Drosophila melanogaster: one gene and its partners. The gene in region 4 interacts genetically with the main gene of each other region. Each region holds a gene or a part of one and is shown on either strand. Other genes may lie near its edges.

Region 1 (5,474 bases), on a different chromosome or scaffold from region 4:
TATCAGAAGGAGGTGGGTGCGAAGAGGGAACTGGAGGAGACCTTCTCTCGCCTATGGACCGAGTGCCAGCGATGCCAGGAATCCTTGCACGAGGAGGTCATCTGCTCCAACAGAGATTGTCCCATCTTCTACATGCGACAGAAGGTTCGCATGGATCTGGACAATCAGGAGAAGCGGGTGTTGCGATTCGGCCTGGCCGAGTGGTAACCATTGCATGAGTTTAATGAATTGTTTAATCCTATAATTTAATAATTATATTACTAGAAGTTATTACAAAGTTTCTTTCGGTTCGTGGATTTTTTGCGCAATCTGCAATTTGAAAAAAGCTGTTGACGTTCCCTAGCTGGCGATGCTTTGGACACACATTTTTTACACAGGGATCTGGGGGTCTGAGGACTGGCTAAGTATCTACTTGCGACTCTGCAGGGTGTTGGACAGCCAGTCCATGGCCTGGTCGAGTCCCTCGCCCTTGGTGGCCGACGTTTTGAATATTTGAAATGTGCGGTTCTTTAGGTTCTCCAGTCCTAACGCATGATGGACCTCGGCGACGGTCATGCATCCGTCCATGTCCTGCTTGTTCGCCAGGACGACCAGTATCGCGCCGGCCAGCTCCTCCTCACGCAGCATGTACAGCAGCTCGTCCTTGGAGATGCCAATGCGGTCCCGGTCCGCCGAGTCCACCACATAGATGATTGCGTCCGTGTTGCTGTAGTAGCAACGCCAATAAGGTCTATAATGGAAATAGCACGAATTGAGATTAGGATTACCATTCTTAAAGGCCAAATAGATATATGTACGTAGCCTGCCTAAAGAAAGAACTATTAGCTATTTTAAGTTAAGTTGTGGATGCAGATGTTTCCTATCTTATCAGCTACAATTATAATGGCTTTTTGGAAACCCAAAAGGCTTACTAAACTACAACCGAAAATATGTCTTCTAGATATTAAATAAGACTTGGGTAATGCCATCACAATACTGCTCTCGTGTAACCAACTCACCTAATACTTGTCTGTCCGCCCAAATCCCAGACCTGGAACTTGAGGTTCTTGTAGGTGACCTGCTCCACGTTGAAGCCGATGGTGGGTATCGTGGTGACCACCTCGCCCACCTGCAGTCTGTAGAGGATCGTGGTCTTGCCGGCGCCGTCCAGGCCCAGGATCAAGATGCGCATCTCCCGGGAGCCGAGCAGTCCGCGAAAGTAGCTGAGCACCCCACCTGGAAGAAGAACGTATGATTTTTATGACCAGACTTCGTCACCGGGTGTCGCCGGAACGGGGAGGTTCCCCACGTCCATGCTCCGTGCTGTACAAACCCATGATTACGGCTGAACTTTGTCTAGTGCTGGCGCTGCCTCTAAATGCTTAAGTTTAGTAAACCTAGTTAATTGTATGTGGTGCTACAATTAATACAAAATCGCAGAAGTCTTGTTTTCACTTTTTTTTGGGCTGGAGAATGGTTTCGTTTTTGCCATTCGCAGGTCACGCGAACATGACGTGTCACAGCGTGCGTTCAGCACGAATATATTTTTGTAAAAAATAACATTTTAATAACTTTAAAAAAACGTTTAATATCATTAATTAAATTTAAATAAATACCATTTTAAGGAGTGCATACAGATTAATTATAAAAATATTCACAGTGACTTGTGCTGAACGCGCCCACCTTTATTGCCGGTTCACAGAGTTGCCACCCTTGCGTGACTTTTGTTATAGAGACGGCCGCCATTAGAGTTTTGCCGTCGCGTCGCGTTGTGAAAAGAGAAGAAAACCTTCTGAAAACAGTGCTAATAGGTAATACTTTCGGTGCCAAATGGAGCAATCCGATTGCGTTCTTCGCGTGCGATTAGCGTGCAGTTGATTTCGGCCGATTTGGCGTATCTTTAGCCGTTATTTTGGGTTTGCACCGGGCTGCGCGAAAAAGTGTGCCAAAAGAGGCACACAAAACGGTAGCTACGATTACATATCGTGGCTATAGCTTCTTTAATGTTGGTAAATACAGTGCATTGACGTGTGTTCCATCTGCAGATTAGGCTGCACCAGTTGCTGGATATCGCTATTGGATAAAGTCAAGAAAGGAGCTGCAATATGGCCTCGCCCTCTCCGGCGAACAGTCCCATGCCACCGCCACAGGCGCCCAGTCCGATGGCCCCGCCCTCGCAGAGTCCCGCCCCCTCGCCGCACAGCCCGTATCCGCACCAGCAGCCGGGTCCACTGCAAGGACCTCCGCCACCCGGACATCCCGGTGCCTACGGACATCCCATGCAGCACGGACCACCCGGCCAGGGTCCACCCGGGCATCATATGCCACCGCACCACCAGGGGATGAGTATGTTCTTAAACAACCCAACACCAATCGCTCCAGTCACACGTAATTATCCGTAGTTTTCTCAAAAGGTCCGCACATGGGAATGCAGATGCCGCCGACGGGACCGAACATGTCCCCCTACCAAACCCACGGAATGCCACCCAATGTAAGTGACCCCCAAGTCTAGCCGTAGGAATCAAAATAGTAAGCCTACTTAGATGTCTCAGTTCTCAAATCAAATCTATGCCATCTGGACAAACAGTAGCTCAGTGCAAACATTGAAAATATTTCCATCGATACTTTCAAAATTTTTATAATCAGTAATTAGCAAGTTTTTAAAATACTTAATACGTTTGTAAAAGATCCTATAAAATCTACATAGTATTCTAAACGGTAGATTAAGGATTTCTTTAAATTTCTTTATTTACTTTACTCTATATACAGATATGGGTACATAAATATCTAAATTCCATGTTAGACTAACATTTTTCTGAGGGATGCTATATGAAAAAGGTATAAACAATACGAAATTCGTGAAACTTTGTGAATAAGTATAGAAATACTAAATTTCCAAGTAGGTAATCTGTATATTAAGTTGTTTGCCAGCTAAATGCTTAAAATTATGGTATCATACGGTGTTGTTTTTCAAAGTCTCAAGATTGACGGGCTTTCCCGCCTTTTTGACGTGTATCGTGGAACAGCTGCCGGCGATTAAAGCTGGAATATATCCGAAAGCTCCCCATTAGCAGAGCTTCGAGCGCCAATTGGCAGTGCAGCTGACCCCAAGCTTTTCAATTAAGATCGTTGTTGCCTTGCCTAAATTACTTCTGCACCGGCTTCCCTCCCACGGACTCCTCCTGGTCTCCCTTACGCAGAAGGTCTTCGATCTCCTTGCGCAACTTCTCTGTGCCGGCGCAGATTAGATCCGGCTTCATTATGTCGAATGGTCCGCCAAAGGGATGTGTTACCACGCCTCCCGCCTCCTTAACCAACAGGGAGCCGGCGGCACAATCCCAGGGATACATGTCCTCAATGTAGAAGGCATCCAGATTGCCAGCGGCCACCATGCACAGCTCATCCACCACACAGGAGTAGGCAACAAGTCTGTGGATTTATGCAATATTTTGTAAGGGGTAATTTCTTTTTAAAAAGCTTTAAAATCTTTTTAATTATCTTCGAGAACAAAAGGCAATTAAAGCTTTTCATTTAGCAGTGACTGGTTAATTGCTTAGTACTCAGATACTTTTGTTTTGTTAATTTCACAGATTTTTACCCACTATATCAACGGGATTTAGTTTTGCGAAATAGATTCAAATTTATAAATGATTTACTTACCGTCTAGCATTCAATCCCACATGGTAGATCCTTTTGATATGCTTGTTGGCCACCGAATGGACATGCAGCAGGGACACTTCGTAGGCCACATTGGCATCCTTAACGCTCTCGCAGCTGCTCACGTGGATTGGTTTGCCATTGCAAAAGGCGCCTTGGCCCAGTTTCGTTGTGAAGAGCTTTTTCTGGACAGGATTGTTGATTACTCCCACTACGATTTGTTTGTTGATTGCCAAACCGATTGAAACGCAAACGTGTGGAATCTGCTTGATAAAGTTCGAAGTTCCATCGATGGGATCTATGATCCAGGTGGGAGCATTCGTCAGCTCTCCGGACACGTTGTTGTTCTTAGCCGTCTCCTCCTCGCCGATGAACTTGTGATCCGGGTATCTGGCCAATATTTTCTCCATGAGAAAGTCCTCAATCTTGTTGTCGTAGTCGGTGACCACGTCGTAGAAATCGCCTTTGATTGAGACGTTTTTACTGGCCATCTCGTAGCCCTCCATGAGGATCTCGCCCGCTTTGATGGCCAGGGGATGGATAAAGTTGTACAACTCCTCGATATCAGCTTGACTTACTCCTGCCATCTTGCTTCTATGCGTATTCCTTTGGGCAAAAAACGATCCGTCGCTGCTCAGCTCGCGATGTCAACTAATCGGAGAGATTGCACCCCACTGGGAGAAGCTCCACGCTCCGGCTGATTTTGTCTAGCTGGCGCTGGCGCTGGAGAAGTGCTTGCGGTTCGGTTACAATTCACTCGTTCTATGATTGTTTGCCTGCCTCGCGTTTTTATGATCGCTGCGACATCGCCCCATAGGGGTGTACTAAAAATTGGCAGCTCACCTGGCTGCGTGCCTCTGTTTTATCTCAATTGGTTTGATGTACACAAATAGACATACTCTTTTTTATCTCCACACAGACAGCCAGTCAAATAGTTGTAAAACCCGTTTTTATCAGCATTTTTCGACGCTCTCAGACTTTATTATTGGATGATTTACACACTCGAGCTGCAAGTCATAATACTCAGAGAAACCTTGCAGATATTATGTTAAAATTGATCGTAACTGTATTATAAAGATCAATCACTTGTCTTATAATCTTTAAACTTTGCTTTTATGCTTATCATTAAACATATTCGTATTGTTTCATACATCCATCATTTCCAATCTATTGAATATAGTTGTTTAGACTTCATGAATATATATTAAGCTTTATGATTTATTTAAAAGTATAGCCGCTAATTTGGTCGGCTCCTTCTATCAATTGGATTACACTTTTGGCCAATTCTTCAGAGCTGGTGCACACACAGTCGGGTTTCATCACATCGAATCTTGCACCGCTTGTGTGATATACCCTGCCACCGGCTTCCCTGAGGATTACCGCACCGCCAGCCAGATCCCAGGGCTTTAGATTCTCCACATGATAGGCGTCACATCTGCCGGCGGCTATATAGCAGAGCGTGAGAGCTGCGCATCCAAAGCTGCGGGTGCTGATAGCGGAATGCAGTGTAGATGATGGGGAATAGATCAGAGTTCTCTGGGTCACTCACCCAGTGGCACTCGAGGCCAGCTTGTAGAGACGCTTCACGTTCTTGTCCCGCCCCTTAGACACCACGATTAGGGAGATCTCATAGCACACCAATGCTTGGTTTATCTGCAAATGTTACCGAAAATGCTTGTGTCACTTACGCTTGCGAACTTCGTAGCAGATAAAGTACTAGAAAAAATATATTGGGTTATATGTGATTTTAAAGTCTTAGAAAGAAACCAACTTTTAAACTGAGTTTCATTTTTTCAAGTGATATTTTAGCTAAATTACTTAAGACCTTTAAAGTATAG
Region 2 (6,282 bases), on a different chromosome or scaffold from region 4:
CTTCAACTTCTGGACGGAGGACAGCGATACGAACATATGGGAGCATTGCGGCCTCTTCGAGGGCGACATCATGCTGCACCGCGAGCTGCTGAGGAACGGGCTGCTGAACGAGCGGCTCACCTGGCCAGAGGCCGCCGTGCCCTTCTACATAGACCCGCAAGACTTCAGTGAGTTAAGGCCTGCAAGCAGTCCAAAGTAGTAAAACACCCTTTCCAAACAGACGCCAACCAGACCATGGTCATACTGAAGGCCTTCAAGGAGTACCACGACCGCACCTGCATACGTTTCCGGCCGTACGAACAGGGCGACAAGCACTGGCTGCTCATCAAGGGCAACTACTCCGGCTGCTGGTCGAGCGTCGGCCGGCGTTCGGGTGGCCAGGTGCTCAACCTGAACACACCCAAGTGCGTCACACACGGCGTGGTGGTGCACGAGCTGCTGCACGCGCTCGGCTTCTACCACCAGCAGAGCGCCACGGAGCGGGATGAGTACGTCAAGATCAACTGGGAGAACATCCTCGACGGGCACGCGCACAACTTCAACAAGTACGCCCGCACCCACATCACCAACTTCGGGGTGGAGTACGACTACCAGAGCGTCATGCACTACAGCTCGCGGGCCTTCAGCAAGAACGGGAAAGCCACCATAGAGCCATTGGTGAGTAGGCCAACCCAAATGGTTACCAGTTATTCATGTAATTGAGTATTATTTTAAATCGCTTACACTGTAAAGGAGTTCAGTTTAACATTCAATAGTAATACTGCGAATTAATGGACTATTGTATGGACATACAGTAAATTCGCTTATCTTAACAATTACTACACCTAAATGTTATATTTCGATATACAAACTATAATGCTATCAATCTATTTTGCACAAACCACACTTGAATATGTGCATTCAAAAACACCTATCAATTAACTTAGATTCCATTAGGAATGCCAAAAACCGTGGCTCATAAAATATTTAAATTCGATAGTGATAGTGATTTGATCATATTCAGATTAGGAATTCCTATATTAACACATGGTCCAATGACGTGCAACTATGCTAGGAATAGACGAAGCATTTTGCTTCCTTGTCCAGTTGGAACTATATCAAATGAGAATTCTTTAGCTGAATGGTTGACTACACCTTAGCAGTTTTAGTTGAAGCGATGAGATGTTTGTAATGACTTGGGGGAGCTTGCATCGTCTACACTCTCTGACTCCTGTCCTTTGCTTCCAGGATCCGTACGCCTCGCTGGGCCAGAGACGCGGCCTCTCCGACAAGGATGTGTCCAAGCTAAACGAGATGTACGAACAGGACTGCAGCGAGGACTACCTGCTCAACTTCGACCGCTTCGGGAACTACATCGACGAACTGCTCGACTACTTCCAGGGCAACATTCAGGATCTGCTCGGATAAAAACGCCTGAGGCCAATAAAAGAAAGTGCCGGCTAGGTGACGAAAAAAGTGAAGTGACTGATCTCGTCGAGGGTCTGGGCGGCCTCCCCACGGAGTGCCGGGTACGAGTGGTGCTCAGAGAGTTGTTGCAGCGCAAATCGCAGCTCTCCATTCCATATGCGCTGCACGCCGCGCAGGCTGAAGCGGGCCAGCAGGCGCAGCAGCTGACAGGAACGTTGCCGCAACAGGTGGTGTCGGCTCTGCAGGAGCGAGACGAAGTTTAGCCGCGGATTAAAGACAATCCGTTCTACAAGCTCCGCGTTTTCGGGCAGCTCGCGCAGCACACAGCCCATCAGGGCCAACATGCACCCAGCCAGGCGAACAGAGGCGGCGTCTGAATCCGATTGCCTGAAGTCTACGGGAGAACGGGAACGGGCTAACAGTTTACAGGAGTCAGCTCATACCATCTAAGGGTAATCTTACCGTGCGTGAGGAAGTTGAGGAACAGATCGCTTGCTGCCAGAATGGCAACCGCATCGCAGAACTGCGTTAGGAACTGCTGCTGCAGGTGTACCAAGTGGCAGACCAGTTCGTACAGACTGCAAGCCGTCTCCAGCTCCTCGACAGTTAGCTCCGGAATGCTACGCAACGTTCGACTGAGCGAACCCGTGGTGAGTGGGGCGGAGGCAGCCGAGTCCGAGAGTTGTTTGTGCGACAGGAGCAGCTTGCAGGCGTACATGAGATTGGGCACCAGTTTTACGTCCACGTACACGTTGCGGATGAGCTCGAGGTCAACAATCAAAACAGGATCCACCAGCACAAAGGGCAACGACAGCAACTGGGCCACACTCTTGAGTACCCGTGGAATGGCCTTGGAGTTGCGCAGCGGTGCCACAATAATGCTCACCAGGTTGTGCTGTTTCAATGAGTCCAGTTCGCCGTCAAGCAGCTCCTGCACCGATCTGTTCAAGAAGGCTAGCCACTCATCGTTCTCGATGGGCGGACTTTGGGATTCATCGCAGCTATCCCACCCCGGGAGCAGGCACGGCGGAGTGTTGCTGTTATTGAAAGGGGAAAGTTAGTAAAAGAAATTCTATGAGGCGCAGTGGCCACTTACTCGCTGCTCAGCTTTTCCTCATTGGTGGAATGCATTGAGTGTTTAAGTTGTTGTGGCTGTTGCTGCGGGGGCTGAGAATTTGCGTAGGAAATTGCTTCAGCGGGAGGCTTGTTTTCCTGGTTATGCTTTTCCTGTGTAGCAATCTCCGTGGCCTTGCGTTGCGCCTCATGGTCGACGCTGTGACCCAAGCGAACAGAGAAGTTATCCAGATTCTGACTAAGCTTACGCTTCTCTAGATCCTTGCTGCGCGACTGGCGTACGGTTGGAGCGACTATTGGCTTAGCGGCCACGCCTCCGCCCCGCAAGGAAGCCTGAAAGTCGAAGTTGTCGTTCATATGATTGAGGATCATATTGGAGTTGCCACTGACGAAGCAAGTGTGCGAGTTGATCACCGGCTGGTGTACCATCGGCATTGCCCGAACACCAGACAGATCCCTGTAGGACAAGTCCGCGAAGGGAACGACCACACGTTGCATATTGTCCTCCACATCGGTCTCAAGATGCTCAACATCGCTGGGAGCAATGGCGTTTATGCTGTCGCGGGAGGTGGTCAAGTTTTCCTGTCGCGACTCGCCAAAGTCCAAAGCGGCCAGGGCCTCGTCCAGATCGCCTACCTCCGGATCGGACTGTTTTGACGACTTAACCTTGGCTTCGGGATTTGTGAAAGGCGATTCCTTGGCCGCCTCCGCCTGCGTTTCTGCGATAAAGATGCGTCCCTCAACGAAGGGGTGACACAACAGCTGCGTCCAGGATATGCGCAGACCGGGGTCCTTCTCAAGCAGGCCCTGTAGGAAGGAGCGGCACTCGCTAGTCAGCGTGCTCGGCCACTTGACGTCCTCGTGCTTGATCATCTTCACCAGATGCAGGATGGAGCTGGCACAGAAGGGCGGCTGACCGGCCATGCTTTCGTAGGCTATGCAGCCCAGTGACCACATGTCCGCATGATGGTCGTACGGCTGCTCCGCCAGCAGCTCCGGGGCCATGTAGAGGGGCGTTCCCTTGATCGAGGTGAGCACGTGGGTACCCAGGGTCATGTTGCGGGCCAGTCCAAAGTCGCAGAGTTTCGCGTGCATGTTCTTGTCGAGCAGCACGTTTTGCGGTTTGAGATCCCGGTGGAGGATGCGGTTTGAATGCAGGTAGTACAGAGCGGACACCAGATGCCCGGTCACCCGACGTGCCGGCTCCTCGCCCATGGCTCCATTGTAGGACAGGTAGCGGTGCAGGTCCATCAGCGCGAACTCAGTGACCACGAAAAGGTCCGTCTTCGACTCGAAGGACTCGATCATCTCGATGACGTGCGGATGCTTCAGCCGGGCCTGAATGTCGCACTCCCTGCGCAAATTCTTCAGCTCTTTCGTGGCTCTTCCGCGCTGCAGAACATGAATATGGTGTGAACTAGTTGTATGGACTTGTTGCTTTATCACCTGGCCCGCCCCACTCACCTTGGAGATCACTTTGATGGCCACCACCTTGCTGTCGTCCTTGCGTGTCGCCTTGTATACGCACCCGAAGGATCCTTGCCCCACCATCGAGCTTACCGCGTAGCGGTTCATGGTTATTCTTTGTTTTGCTGCGGATTGGGATGTGATTACCACTGAAGTGCGTGCGGTATGACCGTAGCAGGTTGACTCCGAGGTGGGAACTCGGCTTCGGTACGTAGGTATATGAAAATACTAGATTGCTCATACAGGGTTCCTTTTCTGATAAATGACGCTTTTGCTGGACAGCAATTGTACCTAAAAATCTATATAGACCAGATCATGATACAATCCAAGACAAATACAAGACTAGTTTGCGCTTTTATCTGTGGCAGTAGGTATTAGTATTATCTGCGAATAAACATTTATTAAGTGATAAAAGTTGGAACGAACTTTAACTTATATATTATTATATATTATAAATATTTATATGTATATATTTCTTAATGTACAAATTTTTACTTAATAAGTGCAATAAATGATATGCAATATAAATAATTAAAAATTCCAAAAGTGCAGTAGATAATATAACTAATTATAGGTATGTACCTATATATCGTAATGTACCTAAAATTCAGTGTGACCAAACCAACACAAATGACCCTTTTGACAGCAACTCGGTACGGTCACCCTAGACAAGCACGGCCGAAGAACAGCTGATTGCTGGCTGGTTTTTATTGTGCGGAGCCAGGAATAATCGTTGTGAAATAAATAATGATTGCCAATTTGAACACAGCCACCCAGTGAGACGACACCCACAATCGCAGCACGATGCGCGAGCCCAACCTGTACGTGATCCTGTCGCACGCGCTGATCGGTGAGTTTCCGCCAACCGGCAGACACTTCTGCCACGCCTCTTCCGCTTCCAGGCGGCAGTCTAATTGAGTTGGGGATTCCCACTGCCATTGACCACACTCCCAATTCCAATCCGCATCCCAGGCTGCGGCTTCTTCTTCCTATACGTGCAGCATGTGCGCGTGATCTTCGAGACGCGCACCAACATCCAGCAGCTCAATCAGCTGGAGCGGGAGGCGCTTCTGCGGCGCGAGGATGCCCTGTACTATGCCTTCTACAAGCAGCTGGCCGAAGGGCCGGACTTTTGGCACGGCTACGAGCAGCTGAAGAACGTCACGGACATCGAGTATCCGCACAGTGTCAATGTGCTGCAGCGATTCTACGTGCTGCCGGAGCTGGTCACGGCGTAAGTGACTGCCAGAGGAGTGATGCCCAAAAAGTCCACTAATGCAGATGCACTTTCGCTCCCCAAAGGTACTTCTTTCACGTAGTGCGCTCCGGCTTCAATCCAATGGTGCAACCGATGCAGTTCTATCTGGAGTTCGTGTGGCTGATGGGCGGGGTAACCCTGCTGGTACTCTACCTGTACGGAACGCTGCTCAGCGAGAACATTTTCGGTGGCATATACGGCGTAATCTCGTACCTGATGTTCCACAGCTTCGTGGCCAAGATCTATGAGCGGCCGCTGGCGCGGGAGAACTTCGCCTTTCCGTTCATTTTCCTGCAGATGTTTTATCTGTGTATCTGCATCGGAAGGATCATACACCGACAGCGGCACACATCTCGCATGTTCATGGTAATAGGTGTGCTTTATTGCATTAAGCTCAGTAACATCTTTGCCCTTCGAAGATCTTCGCCATGTCGCTTTTCACCGCCTGCGCCCTACTCTCCTGGCAGTTCTCCACCTTCATCTTCACCACCCAGATCCTGATCATGATGACGTCCTGGAACGCGAGCGCGCTGCCCACGGCTCTGGTCAACGCCTTCGTGCTGGACTACTCGCTGTCGCACCTGCTGGGCCACGCTCTCGCCTTTGTAATGTCGCACGGCAACAGCCAGCTGCTTCTCACCTGGCAGCTGAGCATCTCGCTGTTCCTATTTTTGATTACAATGGTGCGACAGTTGCGTCACGTGCGCAGCCGGCGACTGGGACACGCGCAGGATCTGCTGAACGGCGACTTATTCTCGTTGAAGTTCCTCATGCTCACACTGCTGCTCGCCAGCAGCGTGCAGACCACGCTGATAGAGCTCTTCAATCGGGCTGGCGTGGTCAGTGTGACGGAAGGCGACCAGCAGCACTTCTTCGACATATGTGCCCACTGGGCTCTGCAGGTCAATGTCGGCTTTGTCGCCCACCTTTCCGCCTGCAATCCGCAGTACGCGCGCGTCGCCTGGTCAGAATTGTGGCAGCTGGTCAAGACGATGATTGTTAAGCCGTACTGCATGTACGGCGTGGTCATGCTGGCCATGTTCTTCCGGCGCTGGCGCAAGAGCGGCGCCCCAGTA
Region 3 (5,442 bases), on a different chromosome or scaffold from region 4:
AAACAAGAGACGAGAACGCGTATATGTGTGCGTGTTGTGCTAGAAGACTATTTTCGGGCCGAAATCAATTCTGATCGAAAAAACGAATTTACATTGTACATATTAGGGTAGTTTTTGCCAATTTCCTAGAAATATGATGAAATTAAATAATTTTTTTAAAATTCGCGCTTAATTAAAGCTTTTAAAATTTGTTTGTTAAAATCGCCGATCGAATTAGCTACCGTTTACACATATATATTTATGTTTAATTCTAATTTGTCTCTCATCTGACAATTTTTTAAAAGCGAAATATTTTTTTTTGAAACACTTTTAATGTTAAATGACTTAATAAATATAGTAAATAATTAAAGGAAGTACAATAGAAATTATTATAACTACTGGAATTTCATAAATTCCATAAGAATATGATAACTGTTTATTGCAAAAGTCTAGAATTATTCTAGTGTCTTTGCTTTGGTCATATCTTGAGGCACGAAGTGCGGACACAAGCACTCAACAATCATTGCCTAATTAATTTTTACACGCCGCAAGACGAATACTCTAATGACAAATATTCTAAATATATAAAGTCATTTTTAAATTTATTTTTGTGATAATATGTACATAGATTTGGCTCTTTCTAATCTATTTTCATATAATAATAACGTTAAGGCAATGCAAAACAAGAATTTTTCACATGGTGCCAATTGATCAAAAATAATATAGATTTAAAGTCAAAGAACTTCTAAGGTGAAGGGCATATTTTGTCAAATTTACAATGCATGAGCATACGTGTGCACACATACAGTTGTCTGCTATCACTTTATGCGATGAAAAGAGCTGTTCGCTGTAGCACTCTCTGCTCTCTCGCTCTCTAACAAAAATTCGAGAGAGCCTGGAGCCACCTCTAGAGCCACGGCGAAAAAATCGTGTGCCAAAAAATTGTATGGCGTTACGCATCTTGTTATTCTAGTGTCTTTGGTAGAAGGTTCAGATTAAGCATACCCATCCATACAAACCGATGTTTCCACGCCTACTTTAACGAACACAAACCGACCAAACTGCCAAGCCCACACTTTTGCAAAATGTTTTGATTTTATTTAATTTGATGTCAATGTTTATGGTAAGCCAAAAACACTTCGGCCCCTCCTAACAATTACAAAACACCCAAAATGCTAACGCCCATACTTCAGTAATTTTTTTTATTTTTCTCATTTTTTTCCCCAATATCTATCGATATGCCAGAAAAATTATGAAATTTTGGACTCTCCATTTCACTAGCTGAGTAACGGGTTTGTGATATTCGGGAAAATTGACTATAACAGTCTCTCTTGTTTTTCATGAAGTCTTGCAAATTTCTATCGATTCGCTAAAAAGTTTTTGTATCGCTCTAACGCCCTCAAACCGGCAAGCATAAGCAAAGACATTAGATACATGATTATAAGAAACCCCGCTATTATAATCCGATTCATTTGATATATAAAAAAATTCTTGATTATTAATCTCAGACATACAGATTCAAGTAACTTCTCGATCAACCAACAATAAAGTTAGAGTCTAATTTTTTTAAGTATTTTAATGTATTTACTATTTATTATTATATAATTTTTATGTAAACGCCAACATAATTTTCTTTTGGCTAGCTTCGATGTTAACATAGCAATATCTTTGAATGCAGCGTTTTAAATTCAAAATTAGATTACGACTTCTATCGATATTTAAAAATTATTTTTTCCACGCTCGCTCTTAACCGCAGAAACGGGCACGTCCGCAATTTCAAAAAGAGAGAATGCTATAGTCGAGTTTCCCGACTATCAGATACCCGTTACTCAGCTAGTGTGAATGCGAAATTGCACAATTTTTCTGGGATATCGATAGATAAAAGATAAAATGAGAAAAAAAATTAAAATATGTTGTCGGCAAATCGATATAAACTTAAATTTATAATAAATAATAAACTAATAAATTTATGAAAAAAATTCCCAACAATTTTTTACAAATGTGGGTGTCGGAGTTTTGGGCGGTTTTAGGGCGTTGGCAAAAAGTTTTTTTTTAGAAATCGATAGAAATGTAAAAGACTAATCAGAATGTGAAAAGAACAACACATTTTTCAAAAGTGTGGGCGTGATAGTTTTGCGCTGTTTGTGGACGTTAGAGTGGGCATGGCTACTTGCGTCTTTGTCTCTGTATGCTGAATCTAAACCTTCTAGCTTTTATAGTTCCTGAGATCTCGACGTTCATACGGACAGACGGATATGGCAAGATCGACTCGGCTATTGATCCTGATCAAGAATATACATGTATGTATATACTATATATGGTCTAAGACGCTTCCTTCTGCCTGTTACATTCATTTCAACGAATCTAGTAACGGGTATAAAAATGTTTATTATTTATTGATTAATCATAAAAATTATAATAATAGTAATTATAATAATAATAAACATTTTTATACCCGTTAATCGTTATTATTATTATTCTTTTTTATTGTTACCATAGTTATTATAATTATTAAAATTATTATTATTATTTTTATTATTATTATTATTGTTATTATAATAATAATAACAATAATTATATAATATATATATAATTATATGTAATTATATATAATTATTATAATAATAATAACAATAATTATTGTTATTTTTTATTTTTTTAATTATTTAATTATTATTATTTAATTGTTATTATTTAACTTACACATTTCTAAACATTTCATGGACTGTAATCTTAAAATTCCTCGTTTTAAACAAAAATGTAGATATTTTTCTATTGTAAGGCTTACTTCTCGAATATGCAAATAAAAACTTACGCAAGAGGAAAATATGTAGGTAACGCGTAGGCGTCCATTTCATTAAAGTTAGTCCACAACAAGAATGACGTCGTTTTATAAATTCAATTATCCTTTTAAATAATATTAACCGTCGGCGTAAACATTTTCAAAAGATTGGTATTTCAAATAACGGCACGCATAAATTTCCACTTTTGATCGGCAACTTAAACAATTTTAAGGAAACTCTTTGATTAAAAAGTTGGTTTTAAATTTTAATATTTAATATTCATATCACTTAAATATTATAATGGTGTGAGCTTATGCGCTCGGCTTCCTAAGTAATGAAGGGTATCGCCAAATCTCACACGTATATTCATAAGATTATCAGTCCCGAAGTAATATATTTATCACTAAATATTAAGTAGCGAACAATGAAAATCAGTTTTGTAAGACAAGTCAATATTTTTTGAATGCTGCGTCTTATTCCTATGTTTCTTACGAGTGGACTGAGCGACATTAACACTAGCTGTTGCAATGCTTCGTTAGTTTAGATGGAGCAGTTCGGATCTCCTCTCACACATGCCATTGTCCAAACACAGATACTTGTACAGATTCTACATAGATACGTGTAGGTTCACAAACATAAATACAATACAGTAACAAGTGCATTGGTGATTTAAATGTCTGTGTGTACCTACGGATCACGAACAGTCGGCGAAGGCGGGCAGATCGAAGATGGCCACACAATACATATACTCGTACGTGAGTTAAGATACTTTTCGATGCCAGTGCTGTTAATATAGATATTTTTACGCTAGTAGTTTGTGTCTCTCAGTGGGTAATTTTTGTCCTCGGCGATACAATATTATTTTTAAGCAAAAAACGCAAAAGTTATTGGCAACGCCTATCTCTATATACATATACACACATACATATATATATATATATAGATTAATCTTACAGTAGCTTGTACACCCGATTCAATCTTGATTTTGGCTATCTCGTTGATATTTGTACCCATTATACCCAGTATATCCAGTATATTAAAATACAAACATGTATTTGTAGTCGTATTTATCTATTATAGCCTTGCCCTTGCGAATAGCATTCTTGATGAAAACATACATAACTGTTTTCTATCCTATCAAGACTGGTTTGGTGTAATATTTGCGACACAGTATTTTTGCACTCAGTGTACTTAATGCATCGAATTTTTACCCCTATCTTATGGGTATATTGGGTATACTAGTTTCATTAAATAGTATATGATGTTAATAAGGTAGTAGACTCGGTAATCTAACAATCCAACAATTAAAATGTTTCCAACCCCTTGGGTATGTGGTTATAGCAATGTTGATGCTTAAATAAATGTTACTTCTGGCAGCGCTTAAATACTTGTTTATAAATTTTGAAAATTAATATTTCGATTGCAACACTTCGCCCCTTAGTTCTGTATTGGTCAATTCAACAACACTGTCTTGAACCAAATTGGATTTATAATTTCCGACACGATATTACGTACGGGCATAACTAGATTGATTCGGCTAGGGTCAATCAATTTCTTTTATCTGATATACGGCTTTAACCTAGACGACATTTTGCGGTCTAAAGACGATCTAGGTGAGTATAACGACAATGTTTTAAACAAAGCAATATAACAAAGTTTATAAATTCATGTCAATCAATGTTCTACTTTAATGATGGAAACGCGTCTATTTCCGAACTGCATTAGTAATTTTGGCTGTGTTTATTGAAAAAGGTATTTAATAGTAAAGACACACTACTTAAAGAAAAATACAATTTCGGAGACTTGTTTGTTCATAACGCGTGTAATTAAAAAAAAAAGCGACTTGAACTATTAAATATAATTGTGCCTAGTACAAGATAGCTTTGGCAAGCCACAGTTTTGATAAAGCTACATAATTAGTCGTCAAATTTAGTAAAATTTATCGAATAAAGTGGAGAGCATAATTATTTTCATTATGCCATTAATATTCAGTGAATATGGCTGTCCAAGAATATTCATATGTACTTTTTGGTGGCATCTGTCTTTTAACCCCGTCTTTAAAGGTGATTTTAACTAGTTAAGTTTTATATTAATGGGTAGGTGATGAAGTTATACTGATAATTTTTGGTGTTTTTGAAGAAATAAACTGATAATATATTTAATCTCAAAAAGAGGTATTTTGCAAACCTCCAAGGGTTTTGTAATTTGTGATCGTTCGAAGTGGGTATGACTTTTTTTTGGTACATCACTTTTAAAAGTCACTTTTAAAAGGGTGTGACAGTCTTCGGCAGTTTGTGGCCGTTATATACTTTGCATCGTATGTATATATGTACATATATTTTATACCGAACAAATATTTGTTATGACAAAATTTTTTGTATAAATACCATAGTATATTTTATATTATGTTACTATACTTTAATGCCTTCTCGCCCGTGTACTCGTAGTGGTTATAATATAAAATAAAAGATTCAAAAAGTTTGTATACCCAGTTTATTTCAATAATAATAAGGAACATTAAGAAAGCCACATCCTTTCTTTAAAAAAAAATTCTGTTTTTAATTTAAGTATGTAAAAAAAATGTTATTTAGAACATTATTACAATATAGGTATGTACATATGCTCTTCGAATGCCTTTGAACGGTTTTATATACATATGTATATTTACATATGTAAATAA
Region 4 (5,736 bases):
TGATTGCATATCAAATTCAAGGTAACATCTGAAATGGCTGCAACCATTTAGAATCCCCCGATGGGCGCGTGGCAGTTGCCAAATGCAATTTGGAATTGGTTTTCAAGTGAAACTCTAGCAGGCGAACAACTGGTTCGATAATACGATTTAACTTTACAGTACAGTAAAATCTGATTTTTAAAGATCTAAGTCGTTTTTGCGAAACACTAACCACTGACTAATAAATCAACAAATCGAAAGTCATTGTAACACTTGTGTGGGCGATACTAAACCCTTTAAATCAACTATATTAGTCGGTTGGCAGGCGTAATCTGTCTTCCCACAATTCTGATTATTAGTTTGTTGTTCAATAGCACCAAATCGTCCAAGGAAACTGGAAGTCCGCCATAAAAGCCCAATAGCTCGTTTATGGCGCTAATCAATAACAAGGCTATTTTTACACATCGACACTTAAAATTTCATTAAAGTAACACGAAGATAAGCTGGTGGGAAGCGTGCCGATTATATATATCAGCAACTTCAATGTCGGCCCTCTTAGGGGGTCTTGACTGTGCTAAGCCGACTTCTGGCCGCAACGCAACCACCCCACTAACTGCTGGCTAATTGGAAATGTTGTCGCATGGTGCTTGAATTGAACACTTGTTTTAGCTGTTTCGCACTTTGAAACTCAACCACCGCTCCCCCACCAACTGGGTGGTCATCCCACCGCCACCCACTCCACTTTCACTACCCCCGCCCCTTTTTTTTTATGGCGATAAGATACTGCTGTTCTTCGCCTTAGCTGGTATCTTAGCACACATTTTGTTCTGGCACCGATATAGCGCAACTAGCAACGTATAACGTATAACGTATAACTTGCACCTAAACTAATTTTCACATTTTATTTCACACATAAAAACCATCATATACCTCTTTTAGCATAAACCATAAAGTGGCAAGCATATAGTATTATGCCAAGCGAACCCAATTTCTTTCAGTGCCAGCATGTAGCTACACATGTTGGCAAATATAGGGTGACTATCTGGGGGGATAGTAACCGTGTATTGGCAAACGAACTACTTGGCTGCAGTCCGCTTATCAGACAATCGCCGGTGATAAGCGGCAAATGCTCGCGTGCCTCCACTTTTGGGGCGCGGACAGGGTGGGCGGTGGGCGGTGGGCGGTGGTTTTGGCTGAGTAAAACCTGATAAATACCGGGACTTGTAATCTCCCGCATTCGATACCCTGTTTGTTGTTCAGCGCGAAATCGAAAACGCATTTGCGAAGCGTACACACAATGTTGAGTAAACTATGTATTTGCAATGATGACCCGGGGATCGATTGGGCTCGAGGTTGTTGAACGCGTTCGCTCGGTTTGTTTGGATTTCGGGACGCTTTGCAGCTTTATGGCTTAGTTCGATGGAATTCAGGCGCTATCTACCGTTCAGCCGTCGAGTATCGGGCTTCCTGTTTTTTTGCACTTGCGAAACAAGTGCAGTGCGGCGATAAGATGCATAATTAATCATATAAATGGCCAATGCTCAAAACTAATACTATATTTCAGCCCAGTTTTATGGCAGCCATCGCCACCATAAAGTTGGTGAAATAGCCAATGCTCGATCAATGATTGGGCACTTTTCCGCCACGTAGCGTTTATCAATGGGAACCGAGTGGCACAATCTCGTGCCATCGGGCGATCGCTAGATACGGGCTATAAAACAGCGCGAGCGATAAGCGATCGCTAATTTGACAATTGAATTTACGGACCACGACGGGTGGCAAAATGTGAGTGCAGTGCGCAATAAGCACGGAATTAGCCTAGCCGCAAATCGGAACCCAGCTGTCTGATATAGAAGACGAATTCGGAACAATATCAGCAATAAAATCTCATCTAAATGGTGTGTTTGACCTCCATACCTCAGATTTAACAGGCATTTCATTGTGTTCCTATATCAAAGTAGGCTTACTTTTATCACAAAATAATACCTAGACCAAATATTAAGTGTACTATTAAAGCATTACAAGTTCCGTTTGGTAGAGTTATCTCACATTTTTTCCTAGAATTAGTCATTTATTTGGCGTAAGACTGGGTTTTCACTTCATTTGTGTTGCTAACAATACTAAATGTTAAGTAATTTCTGATTAATCGTGATTAATAAGTCAATATTTCGGTTTTTACAAATAATTTTTAAGTCACTTTGTCACAATGATTCCGATAAGCGAAACTTTCCCAATGATGTATTACAAATTTTGTTACTAGCTTACGGTGTTTGAGGGTTTTCCTTACCTTGCTCATCAAGCGATCCGCTCCGGTGCCTTCCTCGTCGCGGAAAAGGATGTCCCTGTTGTAGTTGGGCACGAGGTCCTTGAATTTGGGCGAGTCCCGACGGATCACACCCTCCAGAGGTCCGGAGGCGCTGTTCGTGTACTCGGATAGATTGGGAATTGTCTGCTTGAGGACCAGCGGATACAGGTTGCGCGCCCTATGACGACCCAATCCTCGGCCAGGACCGCAGCTGTGAGCCGGGCTAAAGACCATCGGCAAGACGATCAGCAGCAGGGCCACCAGAGAGGTCAGCCTGCTGAGGCAACGCTGCGTATGCGCAATGTGGCGCATCGTTTGCGTTTCTTCTTGCGGGATTGCGGAGATGGAGCTCGCTGCGGATTTGGAGCTGGAACTGGAACTGGAACTGTGGCATTTGGCATCCAGGGAGAGACAGGTGACACTGGCGGCACTGGCCCAAGGCACTGAGCTGTGGTTATCCATGATTTATCTAAGACTCGTTGTTTGCTGTTTCTCTTGATTGGATTTTGTATCTCCTTTAATTTTTTTTATTTATTTTTTTGGTTATTTAGCACTTCACTTTTGGCACACAGACACGCTTATTTGGCGACACGTTTGTTATTCAGATTTATGGTATTATTTGGATTTAAACTGGCTAAATCGAAATACTTGAGTCGGCGAAATCGCAGGTCCTAACTGACTTAACTACGGTCTTAACTGTTCTCCGCTGAACTGGCAGTTAGCTCTCGGTTCGGACAACCGTTGCGCTCGCACTGTGATTGACAAATGACATTTCCGAGCGGAGTATCGTGCGCGCAGAGTGTTCGAGTGCGAGTACGAGTACGGCAGCGAATACGAATGCGAGTATAAGTACGAGTACGACGAGGGTGCTTTCAAGAACCCTAGGCCTTTTAGCTCACACAAACACACACGCACACACACACTATCGCCTCGAGTTCATTCCGCGTTGTGATTGTATGCGTATGCCACTCGACGTTCGATCGGCTGTGGTGTTCATTTTTATGCTGCCTTATGCGCAAGGGAAGTGGAAGCGGGACAACCAGATGATGCAGCATACTCACAAGACTGGTTTGCATGTGTTAGTGCCTGAGTCTTCGGCTCTTATGTACAAGCAATGTTGGCAACAGATGTTGGATGGCATTGGCATAGTGTGCTGCGGTCCATTATGGCCATGGATGAAAGTGTGTGCCTGTTGCCAATTGGATGTGTGATAGTGTGCGTTGCTGGCGCAGAAGAGCTGCAGCATCCTCGACTGCAACTGCAATTTCTCTTAACACTTGCACTACTCGGACTCGACTCGACTCGAGTCTTGTGGCTTGTTAGCCGCTTCTGGCCCTGCAACTCCTCCATCGCAGGCCATTGTTCACTTTTTTCCGTTGCCTTTCTTCGTTTTGTTGTTCGTTTCGCTTTATTGCTTGTAAATTAATAATGTTCCGGTTTTTTGTGTATTGTGTGACTCCTGGGCAGCCTTATATATATACATACATATATATGTATATTGTATATGGTATGATATGTGGAGTACATATGGGTTCAATGCTGCTTCCGTTTGCCAGTCTTCAAGGAACGGAAAAAGTGCTTAAAACTAAAGTACTTTATGATCATCGAAGGCTCCGAGCTTATGTCACCCAGTGAGTCATTCATATGCCCCTCAGGTAGTGGTCATGTTCCGATTAGATATCGCCTTAGGACCTACAAATTACTGGTCAATTTAACAATTTCCTTCTCCGCCAGAGGTTCCGTTCAACGCCATGTCAATAATCGCAAATATGTCTATATATATTGCAAAAACCGATAACGATTTTGGCAAATACAATTTGCAATTAGGTACCTTATATTTATGCACAGCAAATAACTAAGTTGCGGATTGATGCCGCACTCTGGAAATCAATAAATTTCCAGTTTTATCTCTGTTGACTTTGGCTAATATAAAATTCCCCACAACTGGGAAATCTCCAATTTAACTTTTTAGCTTTTTCGCACTTTCAGAACTTGGATCTGTGGCAAGCGCTAATCTTTTGTTTTGGCTCTTTTTCCAGACCTTATTTATTTTTTTGCGGTTGCACCAGGTCTATTTGCACTGTCACTTGGCAAGCGCGAATTGTGGAATACGCCCGTCAATGTGTGCCCAAGAAATTGTCACTTTCCAACGGGGTAGAACCAAGGGCCAAGGTGCACCTGCTCATGTAACGGATTCCATGGGGGGGCATAGCATTTTTTTTTTTTTTGGTAACGCTCTGGAATGCAAGGCATAGCATAATAATTTCGACAAAAAACGAAATGAATCGAAGAAAAAAAATAAAACGAATCGAAAGAGGAGAAATACAATAGCTGGTCGTGGCGGCAAAAGATATAAGAGAAGGCAAAACGCCATCAACAAGATACACGGAACCAAATTAAAGATGAAGAAGCTGAAATGGAAGGGGGTATGGAATATACGAGTCTTGGATGCTGGGCCATCGGGCATTCGAGTGTGTGTGCGAGAGTCTATGTGGCTGCCACATAAATTTCTGCCTTCTTTGTGTGCGCACCGAACTCATTACGTTCGTCGCTGTGTGTATCTGTGTGAGTTTCGAATGTGTCTTTGGGCCTCCGCATCTGTATCTGTATCTGTATCTGTGGGGCGGAGCTGCTTAAGGCGCTCATTTGTGAATGAACACACAACACACCGTGAACAAGCCAGATACAGATGCGAAGACCATCCCGGGCCCATGGGCAAACAACAATCGCTCCAGCACTTAATGAGCATGAATAAATGGCATCGCAGACCGTGGAGCAAGCGAGACGGCCAGCGGTCCTCATAATCACGATCATATAGATCGCGCTCTTAGCCGAAACGGCTCACAAAAAATACAGAAAAGAGTTAAAACAAAAAAAAAAGAACACTAAATAAATAAACTAACAAAAAATGCCTTTCCAGGCCCTTCGAGATAAAAAGCCGCAGATTAGTTTCTGTAATTAGATTTGGTCCAGCTTTGATTTATGTGAATATTAATGGGACAACAGCTATAAGTCGAAATTGAATTTTAATGGCAACCTGTAATGCTGCACGGTGAAAAATGTAAAAAAGCAGTTCTTAATGTCAAAACATTAAAAAAAAAAATGAATACAATTACCATTCTTCGAAATTTGATGTTGAGAAACTATATGATCAACGAAAAGATGTGACACTTGAATTACTCATCTACCAAGTTAAGATTAATATTTTTGCCGTGTGCTAGATCCTCCAAATAGACATACCGGAAATATTCAGACCATTCGCTGGCCAACTAGAATGCTCGAGAGCCCAGCAAGCAGCTCCTTTGATTCAACTCGGCATGGAATCCATGGGCAAGATGCCAAAGAGCAGATGGAACGCCATTTTCTGTGCGCCATGGCGCGTCCGCATCCAACGGCGTCTCCGTCTGCTTTTAATTTCTTTTAATGGAAGTTGTTAACATGGCTGCTGCTGC

Evidence for each region.
Region 1: of hh (region 4) and brm, changing one suppresses a phenotype caused by changing the other (phenotypic suppression), as found in Drosophila melanogaster (2 studies listed by BioGRID).
Region 2: of hh (region 4) and fu, changing one suppresses a phenotype caused by changing the other (phenotypic suppression), as found in Drosophila melanogaster (3 studies listed by BioGRID).
Region 3: of hh (region 4) and ci, changing one suppresses a phenotype caused by changing the other (phenotypic suppression), as found in Drosophila melanogaster (3 studies listed by BioGRID).

Annotation. Positions count from the first base shown.
Region 1 is NT_037436.4:15,979,119-15,984,592, reverse strand, and holds the start of brm (brahma), read left to right. Parts: upstream 1-1,723; 5' UTR 1,724-1,790; exon of another isoform or gene 1,791-2,024; 5' UTR 2,025-2,084; coding exon 2,085-2,325; intron 2,326-2,381; coding exon of another isoform or gene 2,382-2,393; coding exon 2,394-2,470; intron 2,471-2,704; exon of another isoform or gene 2,705-3,125; coding exon of another isoform or gene 3,126-3,408; intron 3,409-3,639; coding exon of another isoform or gene 3,640-4,223; exon of another isoform or gene 4,224-4,493; intron 4,494-4,588; exon of another isoform or gene 4,589-4,854; coding exon of another isoform or gene 4,855-5,125; intron 5,126-5,185; coding exon of another isoform or gene 5,186-5,289; intron 5,290-5,474. Other genes in the region: PolD1 (DNA polymerase delta subunit 1), read left to right, coding at 1-207; Arl1 (ADP ribosylation factor-like 1), read right to left, coding at 409-730, 999-1,215, 1,313-1,316; CG17027 (uncharacterized protein), read right to left, coding at 3,126-3,408, 3,640-4,223; CG17028 (uncharacterized protein), read right to left, coding at 4,855-5,125, 5,186-5,289. UniProt on the Drosophila melanogaster protein: Transcriptional regulator. Acts as a coactivator, assisting one or more dedicated transcriptional activators of ANTC and BXC homeotic gene clusters. Can counteract the repressive effect of Polycomb protein.
Region 2 is NC_004354.4:18,655,614-18,661,895, reverse strand, and holds fu (fused), read right to left. Parts: upstream 4,142-6,282; 5' UTR 4,057-4,141; coding exon 3,946-4,056; intron 3,874-3,945; coding exon 2,504-3,873; intron 2,445-2,503; coding exon 1,870-2,444; intron 1,802-1,869; coding exon 1,440-1,801; 3' UTR 1,408-1,439; coding exon of another isoform or gene 1,228-1,407; 3' UTR 692-1,227; downstream 1-691. Other genes in the region: CG6696 (uncharacterized protein), read left to right, coding at 1-167, 221-657, 1,228-1,407; CG6659 (uncharacterized protein), read left to right, coding at 4,753-4,798, 4,921-5,182, 5,251-5,572, 5,626-6,282. UniProt on the Drosophila melanogaster protein: Probable serine/threonine-protein kinase; maternally required for correct patterning in the posterior part of each embryonic metamere. May be involved in control of cell division during metamorphosis and ovarian development. May interact with costal-2.
Region 3 is NC_004353.4:53,037-58,478, forward strand, and holds the start of ci (cubitus interruptus), read right to left. Parts: upstream 3,296-5,442; 5' UTR 2,833-3,295; coding exon 2,795-2,832; intron 1-2,794. UniProt on the Drosophila melanogaster protein: Has a dual function as a transcriptional activator and a repressor of the hedgehog (Hh) pathway. The full-length ci form (ciFL), acts as an activator (ciA) while ciR, its C-terminally truncated form, acts as a repressor. Involved in segment polarity.
Region 4 is NT_033777.3:23,138,776-23,144,511, forward strand, and holds the start of hh (hedgehog), read right to left. Parts: upstream 3,132-5,736; 5' UTR 2,747-3,131; coding exon 2,267-2,746; intron 1-2,266.